Linked DNA regions of Drosophila melanogaster. The protein of the gene in region 1 interacts with the protein of each later gene in a biochemical or structural test. Each region holds a gene or a part of one and is shown on either strand. Other genes may lie near its edges.

The links.
Region 2: the proteins of step (region 1) and sstn interact in far-western blotting, tested with the Drosophila melanogaster proteins (2 studies listed by BioGRID).

Annotation. Positions count from the first base shown.
Region 1 is NT_033779.5:21,754,308-21,759,610, forward strand, and holds the start of step (steppke), read right to left. Parts: upstream 3,160-5,303; 5' UTR 2,936-3,159; coding exon of another isoform or gene 2,857-2,935; intron 2,321-2,856; coding exon of another isoform or gene 2,247-2,320; intron 1-2,246. Other genes in the region: CG1416 (uncharacterized protein), read left to right, coding at 3,905-4,052, 4,135-4,771, 4,924-5,059.
Region 2 is NT_037436.4:15,090,025-15,096,582, forward strand, and holds sstn (stepping stone), read right to left. Parts: upstream 4,696-6,558; 5' UTR 4,445-4,695; intron 4,325-4,444; 5' UTR 4,224-4,324; intron 3,301-4,223; 5' UTR 3,238-3,300; coding exon 1,330-3,237; 3' UTR 799-1,329; downstream 1-798. Other genes in the region: GlyRS (Glycyl-tRNA synthetase), read left to right, coding at 5,238-6,558.

The DNA.
Region 1 (5,303 bases):
AAAATTGTTTTGGGATCGGAAATAATTTACCTACATAAAGCCATATTACTTTAATGCACTATCAGCTATGAGTCACACAAATCAAAGTAATTAGAAAATATTTGATTACCTCACAATTTCCCAACACCTTCCCATGGTATACAAAAATAATAGTAAATACAATAATAAACATAAAAAAAATATACAGAATTGTGATTTTTGTTGATTTCAGTCAGAAGACCGCAACGCAGTGAAGAAGACATTTGCGTATTTTTCTTTCGAAATTTCTGTGCACACAAACGACGCATTCAAAGTGTAAACACCAAACATATCATTGCAATCCATTAGTTTAAAGCCTTTGATTACAAATATACCAATTATTTTAAATGGGATAAAACCAGTTTTAATGGCATAAATTCTTTAAAATATATGTCTATATACATATCATTGAAACATGCACAGTTGTATATACTTTACATATATGTAGTACAATATACTTGCTTTAGTATGTCCTTTTACTCTACGATTAAGGGGTTTAAATACTTTTATTATTCTTCTGTCTGGTTTTAAATATCCATTCTATAAATTCTATAAAAAAATAGGTAATTTTGCGCTGAGCTAAAAATTATAACTCCAGGTAGTCGGGGAACAGAAGAGTGAAAGGTAGGGGACGATGTGTCAATTGCATATCCAGGTAGACATAATAAAGCCCGATAGTTAGGAAAAAAAAGCAACGGAAATTCGGGGGAATCAGAAAAAATATGAGATTTCCATTTCGGTGCAGATGTGCATACGAAAATTTTGACCGATAACAACACATGATCCTTACACTAAAAGTAGTTCAACATTATTAAGGTAGATACATTTTTTAAATTAAAGTTATCAATAAATAAAAGCCCTTTAACTAGGACTTGTACTAGCAAAATATTAATATTTTTATTAATTTCAGCAAACGTTTATTTTAACAATTGATAATTAAATTGGTAGTATCGTACCACACACAAATTTATAATTGACTTTTTAGCACACTCACCTTTGCGTTTTCTCACAATCTAACGATACAAGCATTTGCACATATCAGCACAATGACAAAACGGCAATTGTTAAAAATCCAATAAATAAAAATTCGTTCACTTTAGATCACGACTCGAAGAACCACAATTACAGCACGCGAAAAAATCTCCAGTTCGCTGTTGGAAGACAGCAGTTTTACTATTCTGGTGAACCGATCGTCACAGGAGCGATGACTTGAATATTCTGAGGGAATTCCGGAGGGACAGTTTGTTTCGACTGAACAAACATTTTCTTTTTATTTTATTTGTATATTCGGAATTCGAGTGAATAATTCAGTTCAAATTCAGATTTGGTAATTGAAACATTATGTCTTGACAAGACTTTAAATACACTACCAAAATTATCACTTGTAATGGGGCTGGTGAGTGGTAATTTTAACCACAAAAAATATTAAAATCCTAGCAAGTATTTTTGGATTTTTTTTATAGAAAGACACCAGAGAAAGCCTATATGGCGTTTAACAACTCATTTTCAAATGCTTTATTTCAATCGTAGATCGTGCGGGTTAAAACCATGGTCATTGTATTCAGGTATGATATGATATGAGCACTAAAATATATATTTCTTTTAAAAAAGTTGTTGAACATAAAGAAGTCTTAACAAAGTGAAAACTAGTCACGATCGCAACACGAACATAAATAGCTAAACTTGCCACTAGCCGCCAGATCACAAATCTTCCCGCATTAAGGAGTTAAAAAACAACCTAAGTAGAAAAAAAAACCAAATTGGTCTGGCTTATAGGTATTCATAAAATTTTATAAATACATATAAATGCACATATGCTACTCAACAACATAAAAATCGACTCTCTTGCCCACTATCTCTCTTCTTAATGTTTTTATTGTATTTTTTTTTGGGATATTTACTTTCGATTATTTGCTAAATTAATTCTTAGCACCAACAATAATTTTACCATCATTTTTATTATCGGTTTATTAAAATTTATATATTTTAAGATTAATCGTTCATATAAAAAAATTCAGAGCCCGTCAAGCCCTCCCTACAAAGGCTCTGGAATAAGTCTAGTGTCTTTGCTCCCTCTCTGTCAAATCACCTAAAAAGAAGCTGGCAAAAACTCCAGACAAAAAGACATCACGAAATTGTTTTTCTGTATACTACAAGTGTATACGAATATGTTCTTAAATCGTTGTTTCCAAAATTAAAAATGTATGTATATATTGATGGTCAATTACCTGTATTTCGAGTAAAAGTTCCTGCTTCTTGCGTCGCAGCTCAATCAGCAGTTTTTGCTGCTCCGGTGTAAGTTCTGCAAGAACGAGATGCGAATCAATAATAAATTCATATACTTGTTTCTGGGCATTTTGTAAATTGTATCGCAACACCAACAGTAAAAATAAAAAACACCAGAGCAGCATTCCAGGCACACGCGCCCAACACACATACACACGTGCATACACGAGCTGTTTGCGATGCGATGAAAGCATCTTGTAGGCTACGTCACTAGCTTAGGCCGATAAACAATTTTCACTTGTCGAAACCACAATGGATTGCTAATTGTGCAAATTGGCTTATTAGCGTTACCAAAGCTCTTCGGACTTAATTCTGACGAAGGCCAAAAACGAGAACGCAATGTACATATGTACATAATATACATACATATGTGCACTAACATTTCACCTAGCACACAAGTCTATACATACAAATGTTGCTTGTTGCTTCTCTTATTTTGTAGTTGTGGGTATCCCAATTTGTGATCTTAATAAAATTTTATCAATACAAAGATTCGTATTCTGTTCATGCTAGGCTATATCCTTCGGGCCAGCAAAAGTATCTGCTGTTTACCTGGCATTGAGAATTCACTGCGCCCCTTTGATATGGCACCGTACGATCTGTTGTCGAAATTGTCCATTGCGCTAATCATCGCGGAGCTACTGAGCTACTACACACACTCTCGCGCACACGACACACACTCTAGTTGTACATTTTTCACCAGCAGTTGGCTAATTTTTAAGGCTTTTCATTGAACAATCAAAGACGAACGGATAATAAACAAATCAACACCAAAAAAATTCTATCGCCATTTTCTTTCAGCTCTCCACTAGGGATGTGCTGAATTCAGCTATCGGTTGAGTAAACAACTGAAAAATAACAAGTGCATGCTGACTTAAGCTGGGTGTTACGCGAGCTCTGTGTGGCCACTTTTAAAATATCCTGATGCCACTGCATCTTGTAACCAAACGTAAGAACTTTTTAATCAGTAGAACTAAAAAAATTAGGGCTAATTATTTACTTGCAACAATACATTAAATATTTTTAGGGGTACACTTTTTCAGAGATTAGAGCAGACCTTATCTATTTCAAGACAAATAGCTTGAAAAGCTGTAAAACAACTTTGTTACATCCATTATGGTGTGATTTGCGGGAATCGGCTATTACCATTTCGAAAATTGTTTGTTACAAGTTAAAAACATAAACTTAAAGTTTTGGACGTACATAAAAATATAACATTAAAACAACCTTGTTATAAAAAAATACAATACCACCAATACTTACTGTCCATTTTAAATCTGTTAAAAAATTCACTGAACGAATACGTCTTTCGTCATAACTCCATTTAAAATATCGTCAGGAAATTTACACATCATTTCGTTTTTTTAACGGCACAAACACCTCGGACTTGGTGGCAACGCTGCCAACATATGTGTGCACTGGCATCGATAATTTTTACATCCCTATTTTGAACCGCAGAATTCTAGAAAATTCCACTCGCTGGCCATAGTAATTGTCCGAATTAGTTTAAGCTAAGACTGCCGGATCAAAAGTAAACCAACATCTTCCATCTTTTCATAAAATTGAAGACAGTTTCATACAATTCTACAGTAAGAAAGCGATGGCCAAGTGGGGAGAAGGAGATCCGCGCTGGATTGTGGAGGAGCGGCCCGACGCCACCAACGTGAACAACTGGCACTGGACGGAAAAGAACGCCACGCCATGGTCCAAGGACCGCCTGCATCAGCTTTTTCAGGATTTCAAAATAGGCGAGTATATAAGAATTTGTAGTAGTGTAGAACATACATTTTAGGTATATCCTAACCTAAAAGTAAACTTCTCAAAACGCAGGGCAAAGCGACATTGAGTGTGCCGTGGACTCCGTGGACAAATGCTCCGGGGAGGCCACCGTGAACAATCGCAAGGGCAAGCTCATATTTTTCTACGAGTGGGAGCTGGTGCTCAAGTGGTCTGGAAAGCTCCTAAAGAACAGCAAGCTGATCCACAAGGGCAAGTTAACCATTCCCAATCTCTCCGAGGAGAACGAACTAGCCGACGTAGAGATCACGGTGACAATCGACGAGTCCAACGACGAGTCGGAGACCCTGAAACAGTTCATGTACAACGTGGGACGAGACCGCGTGCGGCAGCAACTGGCTTCCTACATCCGAGAGTTGAAGGAGGAGTACTCCAAGAACCTTATCCTACCAAAGAAGGGCGACGAGGCCGGAGCGGGAAATACTGTGGCGAATTTTAAGGATGCCAACAATACCCGTAATGCAGCCCAAAATATCGCTTTAAACTCCTCGGTGGCGGCTCCTAGGCTGAAGAACTCTGGCATCGGCTGTAAACTGGACGTTCGCACTCTCTCGATGACCGAAGAATTTCACTGCAGCGCCAATGACCTTTACAACGCTCTCACAAAGCCAGAAATGGTCACTGCCTTTACGAGGGCACCTGCCAAAGTAGATGCCGTGCGCGGTGGAGAGTAAGTTTTTGTCCCTGGTCGTTTTATTTTACCATCACATCAGGACCGTTTGTGTCGTCATTTAGTAATCTTGTTATGAATAACCATAAATTTCGCCCCTCGCCCTTGTCTTCACTTCTTTATGGTAAGTAATCTTTTGTCTTTTATTGTAGATTTATTCTTTACGGAGGCAATGTGCTCGGAAAATTCGAAGAGCTCGTCCCTGAAAAAAAAATACAGCAGAGCTGGCGTCTGAAAAACTGGACATCTGGTCACTACTCAAACGTTGTCATAGAGCTGGAAGAAACTGTAAGTTACTAGGACAACGAAAACTAGATATATTATTATTTATTTTTTTAAATTGACCCGCTTAGTGATCCTGATTAACAATATACGATATAATTTTCAAAGAATGTAGTACTCCTTATCAGTCAATAAATAACGCGTATAAGACCATATTCCTACGGGCCTCTAAATTCGAAATATTTACAAAATTTTATGTGCACAAAGAAAATAGTAATATGAAAAAAAAATAACTTTGTGATTTGTCTAT
Region 2 (6,558 bases), on another chromosome or scaffold:
AGACGAATGCAACGAACCGAATAATTTTGTAGGTTAGGTTGGAGACTTTACGTAAAATTTGATATTTTTTTAATTTAAAGTTTAACACGAAGACAACACAATGGGGGAAACTAGCTACTTAAAGCGTGAACTCTTAATTTATCATTATGTGATTTTCAATGCTCCTCGAGGGAGAAAGAACCGACAAATTTGAAACTTAAAAACAAAAAAAAACCAATAGTGCAACCGATCTGAAACAGTTGCACGTAATAGCGAGCGCGATGCAACTGAGAACCAAATCCATTGCGAAGAGTCTTTATATTTTTGGGGTATCGGGGGATATCCACGCTCTTTTTCTCCCCATCCAGATACTGTAATGCTCAGTGAAGCACAACAAGAGATTGTTTAAAAATAATCAATCGTAAACAAAATTTGTTGCAGTGGCATTGAGTTGGGGAGAGTCCAAAAGAGAGAATTCAATGTACTACTACCAGATCGCGAGAGAAACAAAGAGAAATCCGAGAGATAAAGGGGAGGAAAGTAATTAAGTTTTATCGGTTGTTCTATAAATAAGTTTTAACCAGAGATTAAGGAACTACAAGATATATTCGATAAGGAATGATTTAAGGAAGTGAGAACACATTTATGGGTATAAATGAGACATTTATTTATAGGCTAGGGAAATATAAAGCTTTCTTTTCATTTCAATTATTCAAAAAATCTGAAATGCTACAAGAGCATTAATAATGTTTTGAGAAAAATATTGGAAGTTCAACGAAATATTTGAATGCTTAAATATCAATAAAAACGCACTCGCATATATTTTAATATAAAATATTTATTTTTATCTATTTGTTATTGCTTGTCGGTAGTTAGTCTTAAGAAAACTCGGTGAATATATCAGTATCCAATCGGTATATTCATATAAAAATATCATTCGATTAGGGTAAATATCCTTTATACACTTATTAGTTAGCTAGTCAGTTATTTGTTTATAAATGCTGTTAACTATATAAAATATTTCCATATTTTCTAGGCATCCTGTTGTAAGGCGATTTCTGTCCCCCTCGGGGATAATATTGTCCTGTGTTTTTTGTACTTTAAAAATTCAATACAAAATTTGAATGTCGTTCGATAAATTGCTTTCAATACGTCAGTTTTCAATTTGGCAGATCTTTTGAGCATTGTTATTTTCTTGATCCTAAATAATTTGGCTAACGAACTTAAAATTCGAAAGGAGTCCAATAGTTTGAGCTGCTTTTGCTTTGTAGTTTCTCAGTGCTACAAAATTAGTTTAGTTAATCACATTAAAAGGTGAAAGTGCATGAGAATTCCGTACAACCTTATAGGTCAATTAGGATTTCCGCCCTCCTTTTGCTTAAACTTGGTGGAGTATTTGTAGAAATCGGACATCTCGAAGGGTTTCGTCACTTCCTTGTACGGCTGGAAAGTGGCCTGCTGAACTACGGTCATGTTTTTGGGCGACTCGATGCGAATTTCCGGCGATAAACTGGCTGTGGCCACTGTTACTGGCGGTGACACAAGCGCTGTTTGGACAGCATTCCCATGAGCAAGTCCGCTTGAACTGCCATTACCACTGTGACTTAGGTTCTGGTTCTGAGTATGAGCCTGATTTGCGGGTGGCGGTCTGGGCGGCGGCGTTGGCTGCTGCATTTGACTTGGCTTGGGTGGTAAGTTTCGCAGTGCTGGTATGTCCAGAGGTTCCAGCGGATACGATACCGATATCCCCAAAGTTTGCTCCATTGCATTGAGATACGAAGTCGATTGACTTAGCAGGGCTTTCGAACTGGTATTCACCGCATAGCTGGCACTGGGATAATTCGGAGTCGGTCGCTGGTTGGACATGGAATAGTGACGACCCGCTACCGACATGGACTGCGAGGAGAGCTTAGCGCGGGGTTTACTTGAAACCATGGCAGCTGCGCCGGGATTACTACTCCCATTACTACTCCCAGCTGGACTGTGGGGCTGTGAATCCATCTGCCTGATAACAGCTGGCCCATCTAGCGAAGATTCCAGCCACTGCTTGGGCTTGGGCTTCTTCTCAATGGTCGTGGACGAGGATGACAGTGAGATCTCATCGTGCGGCGGATAGCGGCTGGGTGGCATAGGCACCGCCAGCATATCGCTGGAGTGCGATTTCACCTCTATTATGCCCAATTGTGGAGGAGTTAAGGGCGCTATGTGTGACTGGGAACGCCATCGATATTGCTGCTGATGCTGGGCAGCTTCCATATCGACGGAAACATAGCTGGGCGCAAGGGATATAGCATCTAGTTGTCGCTGGTGATGTAAAGGATTACGCTGTTGCTGCTGCTCGTAGCTGATATTACTGGGCGATGCCATTGGGGACACATATTTCTTGATGTTCTGACTTGATTTAATAAAGCCGCCCTCATTGTAACTTTGATGCGTGGGCGATAGGTAATATTTATCGCACTGCACTATAATTGGTTGCTGCTGGGGCGCCACTTGTGGCGGTTGCCTTAAAGTTGCTACATTGGATGAATTCGCCGAGTACATGGATATGACATCCGGCTGTGATCTCTGGTAGTTCATGTTCATTGCTAAATGAGCTTGTTGCTGATGCTGCTGGCGCATATATTGCATTTGACTCGGCGTGGGTGTTGGTCGCTTCTTCAGGGCACTCTTCACCAGAGGCGGTTGTTGTTGCGCCTGCTGCTGGGCCACGCCTATTACCAGCATATCGCCCGCCCCCGCCGATGAGGAGGGTTGGTAATTGTCATATTCTGAACTGCGATTCGATAGCGTTTCCGACTGTCGATTGTTATTGTTGATGGTCATTTGGCTGTCGCGACTTTCCCGACTCGTTGTACTTTGTTTTCTCCTCAGAATTGAGCTGTTTTCCCTTGCCAACGCTTGCAGCTGCTGTTCATGTTTGTACTGTTGTGCTAATTGGACAAAAAACTCATTGACCGTCATGTGCTCGTAGTTGCCATTGATGATGGCGGTCTCCTGTTTCTGGATTTGCTGCAGCAGCCAGCTTTTTTCGCTAAGACGCTGCTCCAAGGCCTGTTTCCTAGCCTCCAGATTCTCCTTCCTAACCTTTGGATCATCCTCGATTTTATTGTTGTTGCTACTGCTGCTGTGGTTATTGTTTATGTTATTCGTATTGTTGTTGTTGTTGAGATTGTGCATAGAGTTGCTTGTAGTTGCCGCCTGATCTTCATCTTTAAGACTGGCCATATTTCTGCTCTTGGGCGCTTTCAATTGCATCGCCAGTGGTTCGTCGGCTTCGTTGGTGGGTTGTTGGTGCGGGTTTTGGTATTTCAGGGGATCCTAGAAAAGACAAGCAGTCTTCGATCAGTCGCCTCCTTTGTTTTTATGTAATTTATGGGTTTATTTTGGGGTATTCACCCCACTCTGATACAAAACTTTAACCATTCCATTTTTGTTTGCTACATTTTTTTTTTAACATTTTGAAACAAGAAAGAAAATATAACAGAATGAGTCTGTAACTCAGAAGCTGATTTTTCTTAGTTAGTCTACGAAAACTATCTGAATTATTTTCAAATATACTGTATAAATTCTTATTGTATCAGAGCTGTCGAATACCCCTGGATGATTTCGTTCAGAGTTAGCATTTTGAATTAGAGACGTGCACTAGTTTATTAGGATATTAATGCTTTTTGTTGTATGTACAGACTTAGTTTTTGTTTGCTTCCGATTTCCAACCCGTTTCATCACGCACCACAACCACAGTAAACCTTGAAGCGAACCCTCTCAAAAAAATGGCCAGAACTTTAACCCAAAACATAGAGCATCCCGATGAGGTGTTGTTAGGTTTGTTGTGTCCGTGTTTTTGAACATTTTTTTGGTTTTGTTTCGTACAGTCTTGAGTTTGGCCTTCGTGGCCGGCGATGACTTAATATCAAACGTGCAAAAGTCGTTGAATTAAGTGCGCCTACAGTGGATGCTCGCTGAGAGGAACCAAACTGGTTTTTTCTCCGCATTCTTAATAATTTTCATCGTGGGGGTTGGTTTCTAATTAAAGAACCTCCACTGTGCATGTTAAATGATGTAAAATGGTGTGCACACATACACGTACAATAACAAACTACGCTTATGACTAATAAATAAATTATAATGCATACTTTATACAGATCGATTGGCCCACTCATAAAAAAAAAGAAAACAACAAGACAACAACAAAAACAGGTCAAGAACGAAAAACGGTTAAACAAAAACAACTCGCAACTCACCGAACGAAGACCTTTGTTGTTGTGACCGCTGCCTCTTTGGCCGGTGTACGTGTGTGTGCGTTGTCGTAAAAACAAACATCAACCGTTATGTGTGGCAGCGCCTGTGAATGAGTTAATTTTTTAAGTGTTTGCAATAAAGATTTCGGAAAATTGGCAGGAAAACAACATTTGTATTAGCAGCTCAGGTGAGAGAGTGCCGAGAGAGGGAGAGAGAAGCACACCTTTCTGTTTTATCGCTCGAAATGCGGTCGCATAGCGTCGCTGTTGTTGCAACGCCGCGTCCCCTCGGATAGAAAACAACTAAACTCGTCCTGTTTTTCACATTAACCGCTTGTTTTTCAATTTGTGCGCTACGCGTTTGAGCAATTGGTTTGGGCAGCACTTGAGTTCGGCCGAACTAAACCAAAATTGAGCAAATTATATGGGAAAAACCAGACTGCAATGCTGCGCCTACATAATTAAAACAAAAACTAAACATATCGATAACGAAGAAGGCCCTACCCGATATCGATGTACTGGAGTGCTGAAAAACATCATAAGGTGCTGTTATTATCAGCCGCCCTGTTAGGGACAAGTGATCAATGTTGCCGACACGGTAACAGTGATTTTGGGATACCTTAATTTTATCAGAGCATTGTTTTTAAATTTAATTAATTTTTTAATATTATTAAATAATAATTCCATCGCTTATTCAACTATAAGTAAAGATGAAAGAATATGTTGAAACTATGTTGAAACCAAACTATCCAAGACACATTTACCAAATATAGCAAATAAAAAATAAATATAAAACAATAAAAACAAATAACATTTACCAAAGTCGCAACATTGCGCATCACTGAGCAGCTCTGTTAACCATAATCAGTGTTGTGCAAAGACAGTGCTGCAAGCCGGCCGACTAAGACTCATCCAAGTCGAAATTGCAGCCGAAAGTGAAGGTATTGCAGCAGTAGCCAATTGGACGGTTTATTACATAAATTCGCGTTTTTCGGCTGAAAAAATAAAAGCCTCTTTATGTCATTGCAGTTGTTAAAAGCGCTACCCCACCTGCGCAGCGCCACCACAGCCGTGAGAACTCAGATTGCAAGAACAACGTGGAGCGAGCACATTGCCACGAAAGTGTTTTTTAGCACCACTACCACAAAACCTACTCCCTCCGCACCACCACCACCTCCACCAACGCAACCGCAGCAGCCAGCTGCAACCACAAGTTGGGGCACCAAGAAGCAAAATAGAAAGGTAAAACTAAGATCCGCCGCTGCCGAGTTCATCATGTCGAATCCCGAGATTGAGGCTCAACTTGCCCCATTGAGGGAACGAGTTCAGGAGCAGGGTAACCTGGTGAGGGATCTCAAGGCGAAGGGTGCCCCCGAGATCGATGTGAAAAAGGCAGTAGCCGAGCTGAAGGCACGCAAGAAGCTGCTGGAGGACAAAGAGCTCGCCCTGACCCCCAGTGTCGTTAGTTTCGATCGCGCGAAGATGGAGGATCTACTCAAGCGTCGCTTCTTCTACGACCAGAGTTTCGCAATTTATGGCGGCATCACCGGCCAGTACGATTTTGGACCCATGGGCTGTGCCCTCAAGTCCAACATTCTGGCCCTATGGCGTCAGTATTTCGCCCTCGAAGAGCAAATGCTGGAGGTGGACTGCTCTATTCTGACTCCCGAACCTGTGCTCAAAGCCTCTGGTCATGTGGAGCGTTTCGCTGATCTGATGGTCAAGGATGTCAAGACCGGCGAGTGCTTCCGCCTGGATCATCTCATTAAGCAGGCTTTGGAAAAGCTATCTAAGGCCAAGGATGCAACTCCCGCCCTGCAGGCCGAGTGTGAGGATATTATCATTAAACTGGATGGCCTGAACAAACAGGAATTGGCTGGTGTCCTGGCCAAATACAACATCAAATCTCCATTAACCGGCAATGATTTAACAGAACCGATTGAGTTCAACCTGATGTTTGCCACCCAAATTGGACCCACTGGCTTGGTCAAGGGATTCCTGCGGCCCGAAACTGCCCAGGGTATCTTCGTCAACTTCAAGCGACTGCTGGAATTCAATCAAGGCAAGCTTCCCTTCGCTGTGGCTCAAATTGGCAACTCCTTCCGCAATGAAATCTCACCCCGATCGGGATTGATCCGTGTGCGAGAGTTCACCATGGCAGAGATTGAACATTTCTGTGATCCCGTGCTCAAGGACCATCCCAAATTTGGCAACATCAAATCGGAAAAGTTGACCCTTTACTCGGCGTGCAACCAGATGGATGGAAAGTCTGCCGCTCAGGTGCAAATCGGCGAAGCAGTGGCATCCAAACTGGTGGCTAATGAGACACTTGGTTACT